Caenorhabditis elegans: one gene and its partners. The protein of the gene in region 2 interacts with the protein of the main gene of each other region in a pairwise test. Each region holds a gene or a part of one and is shown on either strand. Other genes may lie near its edges.

What was found.
Region 1: the proteins of zip-7 (region 2) and znf-782 interact in a two-hybrid assay, tested with the Caenorhabditis elegans proteins (one large-scale study listed by BioGRID).
Region 3: the proteins of zip-7 (region 2) and nhr-67 interact in a two-hybrid assay, tested with the Caenorhabditis elegans proteins (one large-scale study listed by BioGRID).

Annotation. Positions count from the first base shown.
Region 1 is NC_003282.8:1,063,224-1,069,755, forward strand, and holds the start of znf-782 (C2H2-type domain-containing protein), read right to left. Parts: upstream 4,303-6,532; 5' UTR 4,259-4,302; intron 1-4,258.
Region 2 is NC_003282.8:16,501,704-16,508,513, forward strand, and holds zip-7 (BZIP domain-containing protein), read right to left. Parts: upstream 3,980-6,810; 5' UTR 3,967-3,979; coding exon 3,850-3,966; intron 3,747-3,849; coding exon 3,552-3,746; intron 2,535-3,551; coding exon 2,427-2,534; intron 1,888-2,426; coding exon 1,750-1,887; 3' UTR 1,207-1,749; downstream 1-1,206. Other genes in the region: Y51H4A.935 (uncharacterized protein), read right to left, coding at 4,917-4,952, 5,259-5,393, 5,449-5,460.
Region 3 is NC_003282.8:11,167,221-11,176,593, forward strand, and holds nhr-67 (Nuclear hormone receptor family member nhr-67), read left to right. Parts: upstream 1-2,527; 5' UTR 2,528-2,613; coding exon 2,614-2,650; intron 2,651-3,940; coding exon 3,941-4,041; intron 4,042-4,656; coding exon 4,657-4,754; intron 4,755-4,851; coding exon 4,852-4,981; intron 4,982-5,189; exon of another isoform or gene 5,190-5,319; intron 5,320-5,928; coding exon 5,929-6,198; intron 6,199-6,248; coding exon 6,249-6,418; intron 6,419-6,829; coding exon 6,830-7,105; intron 7,106-7,153; coding exon 7,154-7,322; 3' UTR 7,323-7,571; downstream 7,572-9,373. UniProt on the Caenorhabditis elegans protein: Orphan nuclear receptor that binds DNA containing an extended core motif half-site sequence 5'-AAGTCA-3'.

The sequences.
Region 1 (6,532 bases), about 15 Mb from region 2:
AATGAAGAAAATGCGACGAAAATTGGCAAAGTTAGATGTTTGGCCAAATGGCGCAGTGGGTTTTTTGATGAACCTAGGCACACAGGACCAAGGTTCAATCCCCGTTGTGGTCAAATATTTTTGTTTCTGTTTCTGACTTATAAGCCTGATTATAAGTAGATTTTAGTTTGAAGCATATTTTCATATCACAAAAAAATCAAAAAAAAAAATGCCACACTGGGGAATCGAATCTGGCTTTTTGGAAACCGGCCTATTTTATATCAAAATGCTGCTCTACTTTGAAAACTCATATCTCTGTTTCAAAAAATGTTGTTTCAAAAAAAAAAGTATCAAAAAAGTTGTAACTGTAAAGTTGTAGAAAAAGGAATAACACATATTTTGTCAGTGAACAACTTTTCAATACAATCAAAGGCAACAGAGATATGAGCAGTCAAAGATCGCAGTTTTTCTAGTCGATGCACCATGTCATGCAGACCTACTTTCACAGCTTTTATCTTGGTTCGGTAAAAAGTTATCAAGAAATTTTCAACAGCAAAGTTGGAGTAAAGAAGATGAGAAGTATTTTGTCAGTGGAAAAAGGTTTGATAAGATTAAAGGCAACTGAGATATGATGCAAAATAAAAGAGAAAAAAGTTGGCAGTAAAAAAGTGGAAGACATGGTGCATCGACCATAGCCTTGATATCTCATATCTCGGCTATGTTTCGTGTTATCAAAAAGTTATCAATTAACAAAATATTTATCAAGTATAGTGTCTTAAGTTCCGTAGTTGAACACTTCTTGATATTTTTAATGTGAACCAAGATATCGGTTGTCAAAAAAACGGGAGACATGGTGAATCGTCGGTATGCTTGACAACTTATATCTCGGCTACCTTTGGTTTTATAAAAAAGTTGTCAACTAACAAAATGTGTATTATATTCTTGGCTATGATTTGATACTTAGAAATTTAAAGATATCTACAATCTGGGCTAAGATATGAGAAGTCAAAGTTGGAAGGAAGACATGGTGCATCGACATGAATGAACAAGACGTATAGAGGAGTCACGGACTATAGCATTACAGTAAGATTATTGAACACCTATGCATTTCAAACTTCAGGGAAGCAACTAGGTAGTTCCAGAGCACAATGACCTAGGCGTCCGCCCCAGTGGTCAGCTGCAGCAGCGGTGCCAGTCTCTGTGATGATGCTCTCTGTTTTTGTTGACAACTCTGTGTCAGCTGATCTAGAAACTGAACTCCTCGAAGGGTGTTGTGTGTTGTGTGTTTCTCTTTTTCCCGGGCGGCGGCCGACGCGGTAGGCAGTGCCATGATGTTCCGACGTTCGAGGTGGCAGCAGCACAACAACACACAGCGGAGAAGAAGCATGCGAACAAAAAAAACGTCTGGTTTCTCTGATGCCCTAGCCCTCACCCACCCCACCCCGACTACTGGTACCAGGCGCCTCCTCGCCGCTCTTCAAGACCACCCCGTCGACGACGCTGCGCCAAAACAAACACGGCGACTGGCACGCTTCTTCTCAACTGCGTCTTCTTCTTATCCGCGCGGAACACACACAACACACACACACGGCATATAATAATTGTTTTGGCTCCGGCGTTCGGTGGGCTCCGCGCGGAGCAAAAGGAGCAAAAGAACGCACGTAGGAATTCGTCATTTATGTTTTGGTGACTAGGGACTAGTAGTCTTGAAAGAGTAGGATATTAGTATGAGGAGAGGTGAAAGAATCCAAGGGTCCAAAAAGATTTTTAGCATTTAAGGAGTCTAAACTTTTCCGAACACCTCGTGAAATTTTGCACCTGGCAGCAATTTTTGCACCTGGAGGGGTTCAGTTACTACATGAAAACTTTGAGGTTTTAGAGGGGTATTGTAGGATTACTGTAGTATTAATGTAGGGCTACTGTAGAAATACAAAAAAATTACGGTAGGGCTACTGTAGTATTACTGTAGGGCTACTGTAGAATTACAGAAAAATTACGATAGGGGTACGATCACTGTAACAGTTGATGCACCATGTTTTGCCGATTAACTTTGACAGCTTATATCTCGATTACTTTTACTGATATCAAAAAATGTTTAAAAATAGAACTATAGAGAAAGATATAAGAAATGTTTTGTCTGTTGCCAATTTTTGAACCAAAAACAACCAAGATTTGAACCAATGAAGTTGTGCTTGGCATTTTACTTTGAATGATCATATCTTGGTTTTTTAAAGAGATATCAAAAATTGTTAAACTACATTATTATAGAAAAGGTTATAATAAACATTTTGTCACTAGACAATGTTTTGATAACACCAAACACAACTGAAATACAAGACGTCAAAAAGCTGACGAAGGATTTTCAGTCGATGCACCATGTTTTTTTAAATTTCACAAAGTTTCCTATTTCCCATTCAAAATCACTAACCTTTTATTTTCAAATACTCAAATACGTAACCTTTTACCTTATCACATACCCTGGTCACCCCAACTCGTGGTATCAGGTTACCCCCTCGTAACCCATTCCGCGTGACCGCATGCCTGCCGGCGCGGCGGCAAGCGGCCTGGCACGGAGCTATGGGTGCCTGCCGGTGACATGATGATGCCCGTCCAACCATAGATAATAATAGGTAGACACCACATACAAACATATGTGTGTGTGTGCGTTCTTTTTTTGTTGGAAAAATGAGAGAGAAACTTTGACCACATACAAACATTTATGGCTATATCTAGTTGGATTTCAAAAACCATGTGTTTGACCTACATGTAGTACGGATTAACGGGATTGGTGGAAAATGTGGATAGGACCTTTGAAAACTGGGTTGATAGTGATTTCAGATCATGGTGCATGGACTAGATTTTAGGCAGGCGCGGGGCCTGAAGCCTGCCTGAAACCTGCCTGCTTTTTCCCCTTTTATGCATTTTAGGTGTATTTACACTGATGATTTTCAAATTAAAAAAAAAAGAAAAAAAAAACACGTATGATTTAGCATAAGTATTGAGGCAGGCGGAGATCGCCTGAAGGCCAGGCAGGTAGGCGTTTTATCGCCTACATAGGAGCCCTACACTTCAAAGTTGAGTCATATGAAATCAATGTAGAAAAAATTATGAAAAACAGCTTAACTAAACGTAACCGAAATATGGCCTCGATGCACCATGTTCAGAACTTTTCTTCGACAGACTCTATCTAAGAAGTGTTAATTTAAAAAAAAAAATTCCGATAAAACCAAAACCAGCCAAAATATGTAAGGAATTATGAAGAATGAAACAATTATTAAAAAGTTCCGAGAGGAGGAGTCCCAAGATAAAACAATAGCCTCACTCTCTCTCTCCCATATAACAACAAATGAAAACAACCTCCCAAAAAAAAACCAAACACAGAAGTAGACAATTGAAAGAGTGACGGGATGGTGAGAAACCAGTTCAAATGACCAGGTCATTGTTTCAGAGAAAACTGGTCACTTTTGTCGAGTTTTTTTTTGGGCAAACTATGTTAGGCAAGCCAATATCTCGGCTTTTTATGCTATTTGTAATTTTTTCCACGGGTTAATGTAGAAAAAGAGGTGAGCAATATTTTGTCAGTTGATAATTATTTTATAAACCCAGAGACAATTTAGATATAGAGCTGGTAAAGTTAAGTTTGCAAAACTTATCGATGCACCATGTTTTTATTTTGGTTTATTTTAGCGATATTAGTTACATATCAACTACAAATGTATAGAATAATGAATAAAACATTTATTACCAATAGACAACTTACTGGATAAACAGGGCGCGATTGGTGGGATAGCGGAGCGTCGTTTGAAAGTTTGAAAAATTGCAAGTTCTCTTTTTTTTTTGTGCAAAAAAGCTGGTAATAATGCACAAAAAAGTCATGTAAAATTTCAAATTCCCACCAAAAATTATTGGATAAACAGAGCGCGCTAGGGGATAGCGGAGTGTCGTTAGAAACTAGTAAATTTCAAAACTTGAAGGCTTCTAGTGGTGAAATCGATTTTGTTTTGGTGGTCGGTGGTGCAAAGCTGATAAATTTTAAATTCATAATTTAATCTGTGATTAGAGGGAGTTGGCCCGAAATTTGGAACTTTTTCTTTAAAAAAAAACTTCAAGTTAAATTGGCTAAACATCAAGCACTAGAGGGATAACGGAGTGTCGTTTGAAATTCAATGTTGCACTTGAAAACTGATAAAAAAGGGCCCAAACCCAACCCTAGATGGGTCCAAGCCTAGACAGGTCCCAGAAATTTCTAGAGAGCTCCAGATAGGCCAAACTCACTCACGTTTTTTCGTCTTTTTCTCGAAGAGTCCTCGCGCGCGGCGGAGTGCGGAAGCGGCATGATGCGACGCGACGAGCACTGCGGAAAAATGCCTGCGTCTCTTCGTCTCGCACGCTCTATCGGCTCGTTCCGCGCGCCCCTCCTGGTGTCGACTGGCACGTCGGGGCGCCCCCCCGCTGGCCACTTAGAGACGCAGAGTGTGGGAAAAAGAATGACCAGTGGTTGAAAAAATGACATTCAAAAAAGAAGAAGAAGAAGAAGGAAGGAGCAACAAACCACCAAACAACACAAAATTGATAAGGGTATGGGAAATCGCACAATTTTTGAGAATTCTCTCAAATAGGTCTAGGAGGTCTAAAAACTGAAATTCTGAATTGAGAAATCTATATTTAGGTCAAAAAGGTCTAAGTGTTAGGATCCTGAGCTATATTTCAGCCTAACGGAGTCTAAAATGCCAAAAATCATAGACTGGGTCTTTTTTGCAACCTAATTTTGGCATGTTTATACTTTTTATAGGTAGGGAGCCAAATTACGGACTAAAAGGTGATCGGTCTAGGGACTGGAATTTTGGTCTGAACGTTTGATTTGGGCTGTAAAGGCATTGATATTGGCCAGTCTTGGCCAGGCCATAACTTTTCCCGAAAGGGTTACAAACAGGGTTCTAGAGACTCTAGTTTTGGCCCAAAAAGGAGTTATGAAGCAAAAAGGGCCACAATACCCCAAAAATAACCTAAATGGTCCAAGTGTTGAGTTACGTTTCCTACCTGTTTAGTCTGGCAAAAAAAGCCTAGAAACCCTAATTCTGATCTAGGACCAAAATTTTATCATAAAGAGTATCAAAAAAGGCATAGGGACTTGAATTTCGGTCTGAAAGTTTGATTTGGTCTATGAAAGCCCTAATCTTGCAGGTCATACTTAGGCTGGAAGGCTTACAAACAGGGCTCTAAGTACTTTATTTTTAGCCACGCTAATCCTGATCTAGGACCCTTATTTTATCTCAAAGAGTTTCAAAAAGAGGCCCTTGAATATTGGCCGATCTGGTCTCAATGGGAACTTAAGAACCATGGGTCTTTCGTCTGGCAGAATAGGCTTAATTTGGGCCTAGGACCCGGATTTTATCTCATAGGGTTTCAATAAGTAAGCCCAAGCCTAAGCTTCAGCCTAAGCTCAAGCCTGAGCTCAAACCTCAGCCTAAGCTTAGACCCCAAGTTTGGCCAAAGGATCCTTGAAGAAGGACCAATATTTATTCGAATTTTTACCAAATATAAAGTACCATACTAAAAAACTTTTTTCATATCTTTCTGTATTTGTATGTTCTCTACTTTTTTCTTCTGTCTTCTTTACAAAACCTCCCCCCCCCCCCCCCATCTATCCATGATTCACATGCTGCCACACCTCCCCCACACTATTTCACTCTTTTTTCCTGCTGCTGCTGCTGCTGCAAGCATCGAGAAATACACACACAAATACACGGTGCTGGGTCACCACCTGGAGCCACCCATGGCTCTTTTCATATGTTTTTGCCTGGAAAATGACGACGACGCGGCAGCGGCAGCGGCAGAGACGCGGAGAACAAGCAGGGAGCGGAAGGAGTACGGGACCAGCGGGGCTAAGGGGGGCCTGGGAACCGGGGAGCCAAAAGTGGTCTGGGATCGTGCAAGGAACCAGGGAACCGAGTAAGCAAGGGAAACGGGGGTGCAAAAGCATTGCTTCATTCAGTTCCAAACTTGAGAAATTCAAAAAAAAAACAAAGCCCACGGGCATAGGAATTCTAAGGTGATAAGCACCGAGGCATCAAAAACGCTAGTTCGATTTTCATACACTTGAGCATTAGAAAAATCTTGTGTAGGCCTTCTAAGTCCAAAAGCCCAAAAACCGGTCGAAAAGGTCAGGTTTTTTTCAGAATTATTGAATTTTCTGGGGATTTCTTTTTGCTCTCTTTTTGTCCCCTGCTCAGCCTAAGCCTAAGCCTAAGCCTAAGCCTAATCCTTAGACTAAGCCTAAGCCTGAGCCTAAGCCTAGACCTGAGGCCAACCTTTGGCTCTCTGCAATTCTGACACCTCAAGGTACTTTTCCAGTCGACCAACTAGTACTACTACGACTAATACTAGAAACTTCTGTTGTTGTTGTCGTTCCGCGTCGCACCGCGCTGGCACCGACCGGCACACTGGCTCCGCCTGCCTAGCAGAGACTAGGCTGGCAGAAAAATGAGGAAAAAAACTAGGAGCGGGGGGGGGGGGGGGGGGTAGGGGTTGCTTGGGACCTTGGAGTTGAAAA
Region 2 (6,810 bases):
TGGAAAACGACCGGGATTGGACTATGCACCGGAATTATGAAAATTCAAAGTTAAAATGTGTGAAAATCACAATTTCCCCTGGAAATACGGCGAAAAATGGGAAAAAAAACGTTTCCCAGCACGAAAACGCACACAACTTGCAACCAAAAAAACGAAAAACTTCTCTCGAAAAGTGATAATTTAGAACTCTCCTGATAAGCGAATAACGGACGGAGCTGATAAGCAGAAAATGGAAATAATAGGAAAAAAACAGGCGACCGCGCCGCACGGAGACAGACGCGTTGCGGTCAAGCCGCGGCTCCCATCCATTTTGCCATTCCATTGCATGTCGACTGCCCATAAATTTGAGCGAACAGACAGAGAGAGAGAAATAGAGAAAGAAATCGAGAGGGCGCCCGTTTTCTCTGCGTCTCCACACGTTTTCCAGCTTAAAAATTGGTTTTTCTCGCTCGTAAATGCAGTGGAGAGAGCGAAATCCTTAATTTTCTCTTGTTTTCCGCTTAGTTTTATTGTTGAAATATTGTGGACGACGAGAAACACATTTTTCCATTTTTTTAAGGCTTTTTCGGCGGTTTTTACGAGAAAATCGGAGTCCGAAGCGAACGATTCTCACAAAAAGTGATCTGGAAACTAAAATTAACGGAAATCAATCAATTTTCTTCCTTTCCTGCTGAAAAATGCATTCTAAGCGCTGAAAAATCGGCGGAATTATGCAATTTTAGTGATTTTTAGATGTTTAGACCCGAAAAAATCATGAAAAAGCTATAGAAAAAATGAAAAAATGCAGAAAATCAGAGAAAACGAGCGAAAAATAATTTGAAAATGAGTTTTTCTGTGCAATTTGCCGTGACGGTGTTTGCACACGACGAAATCTACCGTACCCCCCGGGAAAATATTCAAAACTGGTTTTTCTTGGAATTTCGAGTTTTTTCGACTTTTTCCAGCATTTTGAACGAGTTTTTTGGGAAATTTAACGAGAAATTACTGAAAACGTTATATATTCCGTCGAAAAAGTAGTAAAAATCACTCAGGTGATGCTTTGCCGGGAAAATAATGGAAAAATCATTTTTCCGTCCAATTTTAGGGTACAATTAGCTGAAAAATTGAATTTCAGCATTAATTCTGGTCAAAAGCGGGAGGAAAATCCACGAATACCTCGGAAAATGAGCAAAATTCAGAAATTTCCGGGAAAAAGTCGAGTAAGCTGAAAAACTGTTTTATTATTAGAGAATTTGGATTTTAAAGTTGCTTTAGCTCGAAAATCAGCGAATTTAGCTTGAAAAACATGCCCAGAAAATGCCCAGAAAATCGGAGGAAAATGGGGAAAAATCTGAATACACCTATTTTCTGAGATTTTTCTCATTTTTTCGTGCGGAAAGTGTCAAATTACAGTCGGTACAGCTTCGAAGAGTGAAAAATCGACAAAATACAATCAAAAACTAACAAAAATTAAAGAAAAAACGCGAAAATTCGGAGAAATTAGCGAAAACTGAGCGAAAAATAATTTGAAAATGAGTTTTTCTGTGCATTCTGCCGTGACGGTGTTTGCAGACTCGGAATTGCTTACCGTAGTCGCTCATTTATTTTTTTTGAAAAAATGCATTTTTCTTCAAAAATAGCTATATTTTTACAGAAAATTACAAAAAAAAAGTGACGCAATGAGAGGGTGGTGTGTGGAAATTCGATACAGAAGCAAGGATTTGAATGTGTGTGCAAGAATGAGATGATTTTGTGTGGGAGGGGAGAAGCTTAATAACTCGGCATATTCGCCATGGCAATCGGGTCCATAGTGTCTATAGTGCCCGGATTTTGCAGGAGCAAATGTTGTCTCATCGATTCGTTTTGTAGTTGGAGCTGTTGGACGTAGACTCGCAAGCATTGATTTTCCTGGAGAAAAAATAATTATTAATTGATTGATAAAAATTTTATGCCGTCAGAACTAAGCCTTTTATCAGAGTTACTCTTTATTTTTAGTCCGAAAAAAAAGTAAAGTTAAACTTTAACGAAACAAAAAAGAAAAGCCACTCCCTGGAATTGATCCAACGAGTGCTCACACCGAACTGCGTCCACTACCTACTGCTCCAAACCAACAAATCTTTCCAACACCATTCTTGGTGAACATATCGAAAAGTGGAACACCATTAAGGGAACAAACGTTACTGTACGTGTGCACTAGAGCGCGTTTGCAAAACTATCAAAAAGTACTTTTAAAAGTGTCGGTTATCTACAAAAAGCCATCTGATATTCCCGAAATTTATTGAAAAATTGGGAAAAGTCGGCGTGGGCGCGTTCTCAAAGTTATTGCGTAGCCAGGCTGACACCTGTTGACTGATGACGTCATCAATTAAGCCCTTTTTTGGAAAAAAAAACCCGCCAAAAAAAATGATGCAAAGGATTATTATCTATGGGAAATTTTGAAAACGTACCCTCTCCAAATATGTTACACGAACACTATTGTCCTGATCGACTTTCTTGCGAGATTCTCTGGATTTACGGGCGGCTTCGTTGTTTCGGCGGCGCCGGTCGAGATAGGCCTGGAAAATTGGATTTATTCGAGAGGATTTTGGACTATTAGCTGTCGATTTACGGAGCTCGTGTACTCCTCGTGGAAGAGTTTACACTGGTTTTTTGAAGAAAAAAAAACGGCTGAAAAGCTTGATTTTGGCCAATTTTCACTGATTTTTGTTGGATTTTGATGGTAAATTGTCATTTTATGACATAATTTATAGTTTTTAACTCAAAAATTGCCGATTCAAACGTTAAATACAAGAAAAATCAGCAAAATTGGCATAAAAATACTTTTTTCAAACGAAAACCCAGAGAAATCAACTCCACGAGGAGTACACGGCCTCCGTAAATCGACACGTGGCTAGCTATTAATTCATACGACTTTTTAAATTCATACGACTTTTTAATTCATACGCCTTTTTAAGAAAAATACGGCTAAAAAACTTTATTTTGGATCTTTTTTGCTGATTTTTTTTGTATTTTACATTAAAATTGTCAACTTATCTCGATTTAAATGCAAAATACGAGAAAAATCAGCAAAATTGGTCCAAAATAACGTTTTTTCACTGAAAAATCAGAAAAAAACTCTATTTTCAGTTTAAAAAAATCAATTTTTCAACTTCGTGGCAGTGAAATTAGAGAAAAAACTCGGCCACCACTTTGAAAACCAGCGGAAATTAAAAAAAACAGTTCAATTTTCATAGCAGAACACGGTTTTCTGGCCTCATAAATTGAAATGGAAGAGTTTGCAGAACTAGGCCATTTTGGCTCGGCCATATCTGGGATAGATTTACGTCGCATTGCGTGTCGCGTCGCGGCTCGGATTTGTCCGTGTGGAGTACACGACACTCTCCCACTCGTTGTCCGGCGGGCGATTGTCAATGGAGCGCGAAACATTCAATGAGGAAAACCAGAACCCTGTGGCAGAAGGAATCCAGGAAACCTCGGCCGCCATTTTTTCTCGGCCACATCTAACACTAGCAGATCGGCCGTTTTTTTCTGGTGGCCGAGTTTTCTCATTTCTCGGCCATTTAATCTCTTACCTCATCCTTTTGATTTTCCGGCACCGGAACCGGTTTTTTCTTCTTACTCCCACTGCTGCCACTCTGCTGATTTTGAGACGACGTGGTGGATGACGTGGAAGACGATGACGGGGAAAAAGATGACGTGGCATGGGGATTCGCGTATGGCGCGAAATGTTGAGCAAAAAATGGGAGAGCAGTGGCTGCGGAGTAGTTCTAAGAAAAAAATTTAATTTTTTGTTAAAAAGCATTTTTGAAACAGTAAAAAAATTTTTTTACTTTTTCAAATTTCAGAAAAATTCCAAAAAAAATTACAAACCTTATCAAAAGCTCCTGCTCCATACGGATTCTGTGCGTACATCTGATTGAATGCCTTTATAGAATCCGAATCACACATTCTCGAGGCAGCCAGCTGCTGTTGAATGTCTGTCATCATCTGGAAATAATCTGGAAATTGGTGGAGAATTGGTGGAAAATGGCTAGAAATTTAGGAAAAAGCTTCCAAAGAACACAGTAATAAGTTGAAAAAAATTATAATAAAACAAATTTTTTTGAAACAGAATTTTTTTTAAATTTTCAAAACCAAAACCGTATTACTCAACAGTTACCAAACTATTACACCGGAACTTATGAGCTACCGCATGCTGAGAAAAAGTCTGCACGCAAACAGGACACCTCTACAGGCCCTACTAGACCCGCCTCCTCCCCCATTTGCCCACGGGGTCTCTAAAGACGGGCGGCTCTTTTTATGATGATTTGAACTGTAATGGCGCAATCGTTGCGTCGTTGTTCTCTAACTAACTAACTACCGTCTGCTGTTAGTTGAATAATGTACCGCAAAAGAGATTGGTGGTGGTCCTAAATGTATAACGAGGTGGCAATAGGTGGGCATGTCTTGGAGTTCCGTGGGGAAAACTGGGCATAACTTGAAAAGTGTAAGAGCTAATAAAAAGTTGTCAACCAACAAAATGTTTAAAATCAATTTTGCAATATTTTCATAGTTAAAATCTTTTTGATAACTTCAATAGCTAAGGAGATATAAGCCTTCAAACTTAAAAATCGGTAATTTTAGTTGGAGTTTTGCGCGAAAAACTACCATAACTGAAAAAGTATCGGAGCTAGTGAAAAGTTGCCAACTAAAAAAATGTTCAACATAAATTTATAAATATTTTCCCAGTTGACAACTTTTTGATAGCTACAATGGCTGAGGAGATACTACTTCTTCTGTAAAAAACGCTCGTACTTCAACTTGCTAACAATTTTCCCTTGTAAATTCCACTTGTTAAATGCTTCACATGAAACAGGCACCAATTCAAAAATTCAAAAATTAACACAAAAATCCCAATAAAACTGGTTTATTCAAGTGAAAAATGAGAATCCTGAAAATTATTGTGGCACGGCGAGCTCCTCGTAGTTGCCTTCCTGAAATCAGAATTGTTTCTTTAAAAGTAGGACCTTCCTCATTGCATTATTCGCGCTCTATTGACAATCGCCTGCCGGACAACGCGTGGGAAAGTGTCGTGTACTTCACACGGACAAATCCGAGCCGCGACGCGACACGCAACGCCCCGTAAATCTACTGAGCCAAAATGGCCTAGTTCGGCAAAACTCTTACATTTCAGAATAGGAGGGAAGGCAGAAACCTGTGGTACGTATCCCAAATCAGCAAAATTAATTAAACAATGCGTTGCGGTCGCGTTGCGGTCGCGTCGCGGTCACACAACTCACAGTTTCATCCTTCTTCTCCTTTGGAGCCCCTAACTTTGATTTATTTGTTCCTTCCGGAGAATTTGCTGACTTCTTCTTCTTTCCGCCACAATTCATCACCAGAGATCCGAAAATCACAAGAATTGGAAGCACGAGCTGTAAATTTCGGAGCATTTTTTGCAGGCAGGCAGGCAGGCAGGCTTAAACTGACTTGTGCAATCATTTGGCTTCTTCTTCGTTTCAGTGGAATGGAATTTTTAAACAAAATTCGAAACTGATTTTTTCGATTATTGATTTTTAGTTGGCGACTTTGAAAAAAAAACACGTTTTTTTTGAAAATTATTTCCCAGTTTCACGAAAAAATTAAAATTATTTTCAACATTTTTTTCCATTCAATACGTTTTCACGCGTTTCCCCCGATAATATTCAAATTTCCGTATGTCAGAATAGCGGTAAATTCAAAGAAATTACGCAAGTTTTTGGGGTATGTGTACTTGAACATACGCACACACAGATTATTGCGTTACCACATTAGGACCACGGGGGTATAATGAGTTGGGGGGTGTTGGCCTTGTGGCCGTGGAGGTGAAAAACCTCGGCCACTACCAACTTCTAATACGTCTATCTTGGTTCCGGATAAATTTGGAAAAAGTTGTCAACTGCGAATTTGTGGAAAATTTAATTTTCTATAATTTTGTGGTTAGCGATTTTTCAATAGCTTTTTTAGTTTTTAAGATATTTTTAAATTTTAAATTGACAATTAGAATAAGCTAAAAAACTATTTTTAGGAACCGGAATTTATTAAATATTTAAGAATTTTGAAAACTTGCATGCTTGCCAGAAAAACCGCGACGCGACCGCAACGCTTTGAAGCCCAATTTTGTTTTTCTATTGCACAGTAACTTTCCCGTCAATCCCGACTTTTACCCACTTCTGAAAAACCGCTACGCAACCGCAACGCACCTAAAGCTGACCACATTTTGGACTGAGAGAACGCAGAGAAGCTAGAGTACTCTCGTTTCTCTGCGCTCTCTATCTCTCTATATTTCTGCCACCCCCTGAAGTGTCATGCATTTTACAACTCAATTACCGATTTACAACTTCTCAGGTGCTTTGCGGTAATTCTTAAAGAATCTTATGGGATATGGAGAACAGTTGCCATGCCACTGATCGTTTTATTATCCGTCGGTACTTTTTTCCCAATTTTTACTGTTTCAGGTAGTTTCAAAATAATCGAATGGTATCTTTACATAATGTGTTGTGATTGAAATCTAAAAATCTTGTTAATCTCGTTATTATAAATTATTATTTTTCCCCAATTTTCCACTATTTCAGATAGTTTTTATACTTTTGAATGGAAAATCTTGTTATAATAGTGTTTTTTTTTTAATTCCAAAAACAATTTTCCGTTTCGAAGATGAAAATTTGGAGGCGAGAAACAATCAAATCAATCAAAATCAATAGAAATCAATAAGCTTTCGTTTTGCAATTTATAAAAACTTTTTTTATTTATTTCTACCAATTTTTACTAAATGTTTCAAGTAGCTGTGATATGTTAGAATGGAATTTGTGT
Region 3 (9,373 bases), 5.3 Mb from region 2:
CAATTATCTGTGTGGGGGCTTTCGAGGTATGTGTGACACGGGCGGTGCATGCGCGAAATCTAACGCCGCTCTGAATGAAAGAGAGAATGAGAATAGCTTCCGCTTATTATATCCTTCATATTATATGCCTTTGGCTATGACACCACTTACCTATAAACAACAAATAGCCGACATATGGTGTGACAAAACTTTAGCGCAAAACGTGGGAAGAAGATTAGAGGGAACAATGTGATGAACAGTCTGTGGGGAGCTCTTGTCGGCTTGAAATGGATGAAACCTAATAGTTTTTAAAGAATTCCGGTTCATAGAATTGAACAATAAGATGATCATCCCATTTTCTAGTCCGTGTTTAATTCCAGGTACATTTCAAACAATTTAAAGTTGGAAAGTTTCTGTCAGAAGTTCGATTAATTGATTCAGTGAAACTATAATTAGAAATTGAAAATAGAAATGAAGCGGTTTCCGTATGCTATCAAGTTTTTGTGCGCCTTGAAGCGGAACGTTCTGTTTCCTACGGATTTTGAAATTCTGTGAATACTAGGGATTCCACAAAATTCGCCTCCCAACGAGAGAAGTTAATGCCTACGTGATGAAAAATTGTTCACAAGTCTGATTGAAGCACTATAGAAAAAATATAAATTGTTTTGTCAGTTGATAACTTTTTACCAACTCAAAAGACAACTGAAACATAAGCTGTCCAAGTACATAGAGCGATGGGATGCAATACTATACGGAAACATGATTGTGATAAATAATTTACAATCCAATGTAACATTGGAAGATCTATTCATTTTACTTCCCCCCCCCCCCCCCCCCACCATTTCGCTAAGTTTTCCAAAAGTTCACACCTGTATGACCCTCGTCTGTCTATCTCTCTTCAACGACCTTTTCCTGCATCGTTCTCGATATTGCGTAAAATCCCAACACATTGTCTTACTCTTGGGTAAAATCGAGAAAAAAAAGTATTTTTGATTGCGTAAGCATCAAAATGAAATGCAGGTGTTCACCACTAAAATGAAATGGAGGTCATGTTCGTACCCTGTGGTACAAGCCACAGAGAGTTCAATTTATATGATGAGCATTTGAAGAATTTTATTAGGTTCTAAAATACCATGAGCCTGGCAGCTGGAAAAATATTTTACTGTTTTTTTTTTTGCTTAGAAACCTAATACTATAGACTACACTGAATTGGTTGTGACAACCTACTGAAGAACAAGAGGGGTAGAACATTAAATAACGAATCTAAGAATTTACAATCGGTGTTACAATGTTAAAGTTTTCAGCAACTAACTTCAAAGAAAATTAAAATTTTAATGAATCAAGGGATATTGGTTTTTTGGTTCGATTTTGTTCTGGCTCTCCGAGAGAGAACTATATGCCTGATACTGATATATAAAAAATAAAGTTGAAAATGAAGTTTGTAAAAAATACAGCTTGAAATTCGTCAGTTTTACGTTTGTGGTTCAAGCAAGTCTGGAACCTAGAGTTTCCCTAAAATAATATTTATATTTAATTTTTCACACGACCTGAAGTTTTCTCTCAAAACAGTCTACTACATATTTCACATAGAACCCCAGACTCCATCTAACTTTTTGCGGCAAAACTACCATTCCTCTGCTCAAAACTTTTGCTCCAATTCTTTTCATCATAAAGTCTTTACTGATGACAATGAATGGTCAAGTATTCTCAGGGATGTCGTCGGGTCTTTTGAGCTCTTTTGAGTCTTCCAAAACTCCTTCAACTTGTGCCTCCAAAAAGATTTGAGGAGGCATTCTGAAGAATGGGAGCAACAACGGCAAGAAGTGTGTGGTGATTGTGCGCGGGATGAAAAGAGAACAAAGTTTTTGGGATGAGGTGGATGCTCCGTGAGCAATAAAAGGATCCGACAGGAAGGGAGTTTTCAAGAGTAATATTGACTATATAGGGCAAATATAATAACATGACCAAGGATACAGAACTGTTTTCCGAAAAAACCAGAATCCCAGAAAAGAACCACTTCTTAATTGAGAAAGTTTCAAAATTTGTTCAAGTCAAACTGCAGATAAAATGTATTGAAATTAAATAAAAATTGAAAACTCCGAGTTAAAGTTAAATTAAAAGATGAGTAGAGTGTGGTCAATCATAGTGGTTGCTTGAAAACTTCACACACTAGTAAAGTTTACAGTGGTCTAGGTTTTCAGATTTATAGTTTTCCAAAATAAGTTAAACATTTCAACTACAAGAGCACCTCAGTTAGATTTTCTGTACTCTGAACAATGTTACTTGAGCTATTAACATAAAACTACCACTCAATTGAATAATTTGGCATTCACCTGGATACTATGAAAACAAAAAATTGAATATTTGAAAAACAGTACACTAGAAAAACTCTCAAAATCAATCAGGGCGTGGCTTATTGCATCGTCTACAGTATCCCTCAGAGTCGTTTCTCTTCGCTTTCTCTCCGTCGGCTGTCAGTGGTGGTCGCTAGCTCCGCCCATGATTTGACGACGTGACTCGCCTTCGCCTTTCCGACTGCCTCTCACTCTCGCCTTAAGAAGAGAGAATTTGTCTTTTGGGAATCTGTGTGCTCAATATTCCGGAATTCTTGAATTAATGAATCTGGCGCCAAGAATGATGACTGCGGTTTCACAGATGTCGGTTCCAAGCAGTAAGTCAATTTTAAAAAGTTAATCGTCAACATCTAGAATCAGAAGATGAAAACTTCTACTTCGAACTTTCTTGGAAAAATGAGCTTTCTTAAACTTCCAGGCTTTAGCTGTAGAAAGCTTTTTTCCAATTCCCAACTTCAAAAGAAACTCAGATTTTAAAATTGGGATCTTGAGCAATTAATAAACGTAGGATGAGTTGCCCGGTGGGCATACTTCACATTCTTAGCCACATAAAATTGTTATTTTCTCATTTTAATTTCAATTTCAGAGTAGATTATTATTAATTTGAAATATTTAGGGAAGAATTTCCTAAAAATGGGTTTGGAAGTGCATAATATCGAAAAAAAAAGTGGGAGCTTTTTTGGCAAGATACATACGTATAGGATTTTGATACCTTCACAAAATTTTGAAAACCCTATGAAATACTCCTGTTTTTTTTTAAATATTTTTTTACTACCCATTGTCTTCAAATTTAACAAAATCTGAACCTTGACTTCTTCCATGGGATAAATCCATTAATATACAAACTACAGTAAATCCATGTATCTTTATATATGAGTTCTAGAAGCCTTAGTGCAGATGGGTTACTGTAGTTGTACCTAAACTAGTTTGTGTGAATGAAGAAAGAAAATGAAGAAATGTCTAATGTGAATATCATAATTTGAATGCATATCAATTTCAGTGTGAGAAAAAATTTCTAACTGAAAAATTAAGACATTATTTCAGAACCCTGATTTCAGAACTAAAAAGTCACATAAAACTTTCATAAAAATTCCTTTTTTTTTCCTAATCTCCCCGGCACGAGAACTCCAATAAGTAAAATAGGAAGTCATTAAACATAGTGACTCAATATTATGGTAGAAATGATTAGGTGTGAATTATGAGTTAGGTGATGGAATTAGTACAAGAATGGAAGAGTTTCTGTGGGAGATGCAGGTGTTTCGGGTCAATTGTGACACGTGGCACCTGTGGATTTAGCACCATTTAGCTAGAACTAGAATTGATTTGAAAGGTCATGATGTTAAATAAAATTAATTTTTTAAAGTCATACGAACAACATCAAAACTAATACTCAATATCCAAGAAGTAGAAACTCAATTTGAAATATTGTTCACTTCTTGCCTTTTTCTTTCAACAAATCCATTTCCATTCTGCCTTCATTCTCTTTTCATATTCTATTAATTAGGCAGGCAAGAGACACAGGAAGTGCTGAATAATTGGAGTCTCTCCTTCTTGGCTTTCTTGATTTCCTCATTCTATTTCACACCTAAAAATGATTATTTCTTCAGGTCGAATTCTATTGGATGTTGATTGTAGAGTCTGTGAAGATCATTCGTCGGGGAAGCATTACAGTATTTTTTCCTGCGACGGGTGTGCTGGATTCTTTAAAGTAAGTTTTAATGTTTATTGAGCTCTCATTTTTTAGATAGCTTAAAATATTCGAATTTGAGAGTAAATTTTAGTGGAAAATTTTTAAAAAAGTATTATCTAGACGCGAAAGTTTCCCATTTTTGCTCTAAAAATACGGTAACCGGTCTCGATGTGAATTTTTTTTATTAAACGGGAAAAGGTATGTGCCTTTAAACTGTACTGTAATTATGTACTCTCGTTTCTGCCGAATTTTTCTCCTGATTTATTAAAAATGTATGTGTTACATCTGAATTTTATTAAAAAACATATATTTTTATCGAAAAACCATCCAAAATTCGACAGAAACAAATTTATTGAACTACAGTACGTTTTAAAAGCGCACACCTTGGTTAGACAAGGTACTAATTTTTGCTGAAACTAATTGTTATATTATTGAATTTCCGGATAGATAAAAATGTGTTAATCTTCAACAAAAAATGTCTACAATCATTTTGCAACATTAACTTTGTTCTGCTCCGATTATAATGTATGTCTAGGATTTGAGACCTCATGAAATATTTTTTCAATGTGAATTGACTTTCAAATTTCCTTAGCATAATTATCATTGAAATTGAACAACAATTCCAAATTTCAGCGTTCAATCCGTCGTCATCGTCAATACGTGTGCAAAAACAAAGGCAGTCCATCCGAAGGACAATGCAAAGTGGACAAAACACACCGCAACCAGTGCAGGTGAGTTCTTAACGGTCACAGATTAGTGTTACGATCCCCTTTTATGCTCTTTACGTTCGAGTCCATACATTGATTGATGACACTTGGAGAATTTCAGAGCTTGCCGACTAAGAAAGTGTCTGGAAATTGGGATGAACAAAGATGCTGTCCAACATGAGAGAGGGCCTCGTAACTCAAGTTTAAGACGACAACAGATGATGTTCGATCATGGATCCTCTCCTAATTCGGTATGTGTTTGTGGGAATCTTAAATTCGGATATGTTACAAGGACAAAATATTTAATAATTTTAATTAAATTTATCGATTCTAATTTAGTTTTGAATTCATAATGACTTTCAAAATAGTTCCATTTAAATCTCATGATTACCGATCTTTCTCTTTCTCACTCACAAAAATCAGTGACTAAAGTGAAGTGAAAAAAGGATTTTGAGTAGAATTAGTACAGTAATCCGCAGGTGGATTTTGGTCGAGTTGACACCGACGCGGCGGCGACGAAAAGTAAAAAAGGTGAAAAGTTGTCGGTTGCTGTACAAATCTACAGTACCACCTGACAGGTGATTTGTCACTCTTGAACATAGTCAAACATTTTACTGGCGAAGGGAACACCTAGGATATAGAGCATGGTCAGAAATATGATTGCAATGAATTGCAATTTTCTACAACACGGTAACTTGGTTGTTGCCGGAAGTGCTGAGTATTCGTTAAGTTGGCAATTTTTTGAATTGGCAATTATCGAAGAATTAAACAAAACATTTTAATTTTTTTGTGGTACGTTTTTCTCAAAACGTCAAATTTCAAAAAAATATCCTCTAATTATCAGTTAAACACCAAATACGTGCCAAAACCGTGACAGATTCTTTAAAAAAGAGCACCTTGAAAAATCAGCCAGTTTCAAAAACTTGTGAATATATGTGTATTCTGGGGCAGATGTTTTAATGTTTCTATTTGTATTCGGATACAAATTACTCAATAATATTGTGCTCTTATGGATCTTAAGTGGGGACAACATAGTGTCAAATGATTATGTTGCATAAGTACTTGTTAGGGACAGCTGATTGGAAGAATTAGCAAATATCGTATACAAGAGGAAATTATGTCTAAAATTTCTATAATTAACTTTCAGTGAAAAAGTTAATATTATTAAGTAGATGATTTTAATTTTCCTTCATTTCAGCCGGAAATGGGATCAGAAAGTGATGCAATAATTCTTCCGACATCATCAATGAATCGTGACACAGTGGCCGGTACTGCTGCTCGAATCTTTTTTGCACTTGTTGGATTTTGTCAGAATCCTTTGAATGGAGTACCTAAAGAACGGCAAATGACAATGTTTCAACAAAATTGGGCAGCACTTCTTGTTCTCCATGCAACTGAAACACGTGCCATAACTTCTAAGCAAATAAGGACTGAGACGATATCCGGTAGCTCAGAGCAAAGAAATGCGGTATGCAGTAATATGAATCTGAATATTTTGAAAAATTAATGAATGTTCAGGTTGCTAACGCGTTTGAAATAATTGAACGTTTACAATTGGATAATAGAGAATACATGATGTTGAAACATTTCACAATGTGGAGAGATACACCAAGTGCAATTCAAATTGTCTTTCAGTTAGCATCTATTCAGAATTTCACACATAGAACCGAACCGACGAGATATATCCAGTAAGTTCCTTTTTTTATTTTTTTTTTCAATTTTCTTATTTTTGGAATAATGTGAGACTTCACTATAAAGGTAAACGCTGTTTTTCTGAGTGGGTTGCAACGATCAAAGTTAATTAAATATTGTATTTGCTAGTTTGAAGGTTGCTAATTCTTTTTTAAAATTAATTAATTAACCAATTGAAAAAGTTCATTTATAGTTTTTGTACGATTATCCTATTCAAAAGTTCATTTTTCGGCTCAAAATATAAAAAATTCCACAATTAAAAAAGCAGTGTTTTTTGTTCTCACAAAAAATGCAAATTATTTCCTATTTGCTTAAAAAGCGAAATTGATTATTGAAAACTAATGAAAACTAAACGCTCTAGTACCATCTTTCCTTCTGAAAACTTCACAGTCTGAAACCTATTTCAGATGTATAAATGCAATTGCCGCTATTCCAACAACTTCAATAATTGATGTTCTATTCCGCCCTTCAATTGGATCAGCTTCAATGCCAAGACTTATTCAAGACATGTTCAAGCCACCACAACAACCCACTCCTACGTCACTGTTTCCAATGGCAAACTTCAATTTGAACTTTCTATTAAAACAAGAAAAAACCGAAACTGAAGAGGGTGAAGATATTGAAGAAGAGGATGATGCGACGAGTAGCAATCAATTTGATGAAAATTCTTCTACTGATGATAGGTATGATGAGCATTTATTAGTACAGTGGATTAACTGAGTCTGTTGCAGATCTGTCGGAGAACTGGATCCCGTTCAACTTTTCTTGGCTCTTAATTCCTCAACTCAGCCTTCATCGGCATCATCCCCTTCCTCTTCAAGACCACGTCATTCGATTCGATCAATAACTGAATTATTATCAATTCAAGAAGAAGAGAGTGTTAATGTTGAAGAGGTTTAGATAGTAAATTCATGTTTCATATACAGTAACTCAATTATTCTAAGTATCTCTTTTCATTGTCTTTTTCACTCCGTTTCTTGCCTCGCCCGGATTTTCATTGGATTTTGATTTATACTTTCAAAATTTCATTTTTCAATTGTAAATTTTTAATTTAAATTTAGAGAAAAAAAATGGTAAGCTTTAAAACTAATTTATTATTTTCTGATTTATATTGTGAACAGATGAATAAAACGTTTACAACAATGGCAATTGGCATACAAACATCATTAAAAAAAGGTGAATCATACAGTTTTGAGAAGACTACATATGATTCGAAACATAAAAAACAATAGAAATCAATAAATGATGGGAGAGAAACCGAGAGATTTATTGGAAAATGGAACGGTTGAATGTCATATTGTGTCATCGTCGTTTTCCTTGTTAATGGCCTCGTTTCTTATCATATCCATATCATTCTGATATTCCCATTCAACTAGATGACCAAATCATTAGCTGACTGATTTCCCCCTTTTTAATGATTTGTTTATGGTTTTGTCAATAGTTTGAACGCGTTACGTTTTTGTAGATAAACCTGATTATGCTAGAATATTTTTTATTGAGATTTATTGACTAATTTAAAGTTTTAAACTAACAGAACAACAACCAATATTATAAAGAAAATGCTTTAAACTCATTTTTGAACATCCAGAACATCCGAAAAATAACCAACATGGTTAAGATTTTTCAAAGTTTTTAGTCAAAGTTTCGGTATCTATTTGCAATTTTCAAAAAACATGGAATATTTTCAGTAATTGCTTTTTCGAACTCCCAGACTGTTTGAATACAAAAATTGAAAAGCAAGTAAACAATAAAAAATTGTAGATATTTTTTCAAAGACTTTCAAAATTATAGGCGTAGGCTTCACTAATTTTTGACTGTCAGTAAAATATTTATTTCAAAAAAATTTTAAAAGTTTTACCATAATATTTGGGCATGGGCATTTTACTTTTAAAAACGATTTCTAAAGAAACCATTTTTATATGTAAAACAGTTTTGCTCAATTTTACCAGTTATCAAAATTTTTCAACTGACACATATTTTTTATAGTTTTGAAATTAAAGATTCTTTAAATATTGAACTAAATTAAACTTAAAAACAACTTTAAATATTGTGCAACGAACAGAGAAATGTGTAGTCAAAGTATAGTAATGTTTTACAATCACAACAGTGGAACTATGGAAAAAAATCTGTTTAAATAATGATTTTACCTATTTTATGAAATTTTAAAGATATACCCAACATCTGCAAATAGACACTTCTTATTAGACCAAGTGTTCACTTTTACTAATCATCTGTGGCATTTCCAAACATTTACATCTGATTTATTGCCTTTTCCTCCAATTAACTTGAAGAAGAAAGTTCTATAGATATACCCATTTTTGTTGAAATAAAAAAAAGCGAAACCATCACGAAACCGTATTCGTTTCGCAGCTAATTAACACCAGAGAATGAGGAGAATGTGGTTAGATGGGGAAACATGAAATCACAAAAAGCCTGTCTCTTTTTTCATTCCTTTCTCCTTCTCAGTTTCTTCATTTTCTTTCTGTATGTGTGTAATCACATTCTTATTTTTTTTCGCGTTTCTTGTCATGTTCATTCTAATTCAATTCTTTTGAAAGAATCTGATTGTGATACCTACCAACTGATGACACTTCCTCAATTCTTGTTAACTTCAGGTTCCACTGGGTTTTCTTCAACTTTGATGTTTCATACTGTTTCAGACTAGTCTTTTGAAGTTAGAGTATCGTAACTGATGCCAAATTCGTCAAATATCACATTTAAAAAATACGAAACTTTTTTCTATTTACTTTCTAAAAGTGACAATTATTGTTTTCACTTATCATAATTTTGGTAACCAACCAATTTTTTTAACCATTTGAATATAAAGTTTGGCGGCTACTTAACCTTTGAGAGGTTCATTGATATTCAAAAAATTGAAATAATACAACATCTTTCATTGAATATATGTTTTCATCTAGTTAATTAAAAAAAATTCCCAGACGCAACTCTAC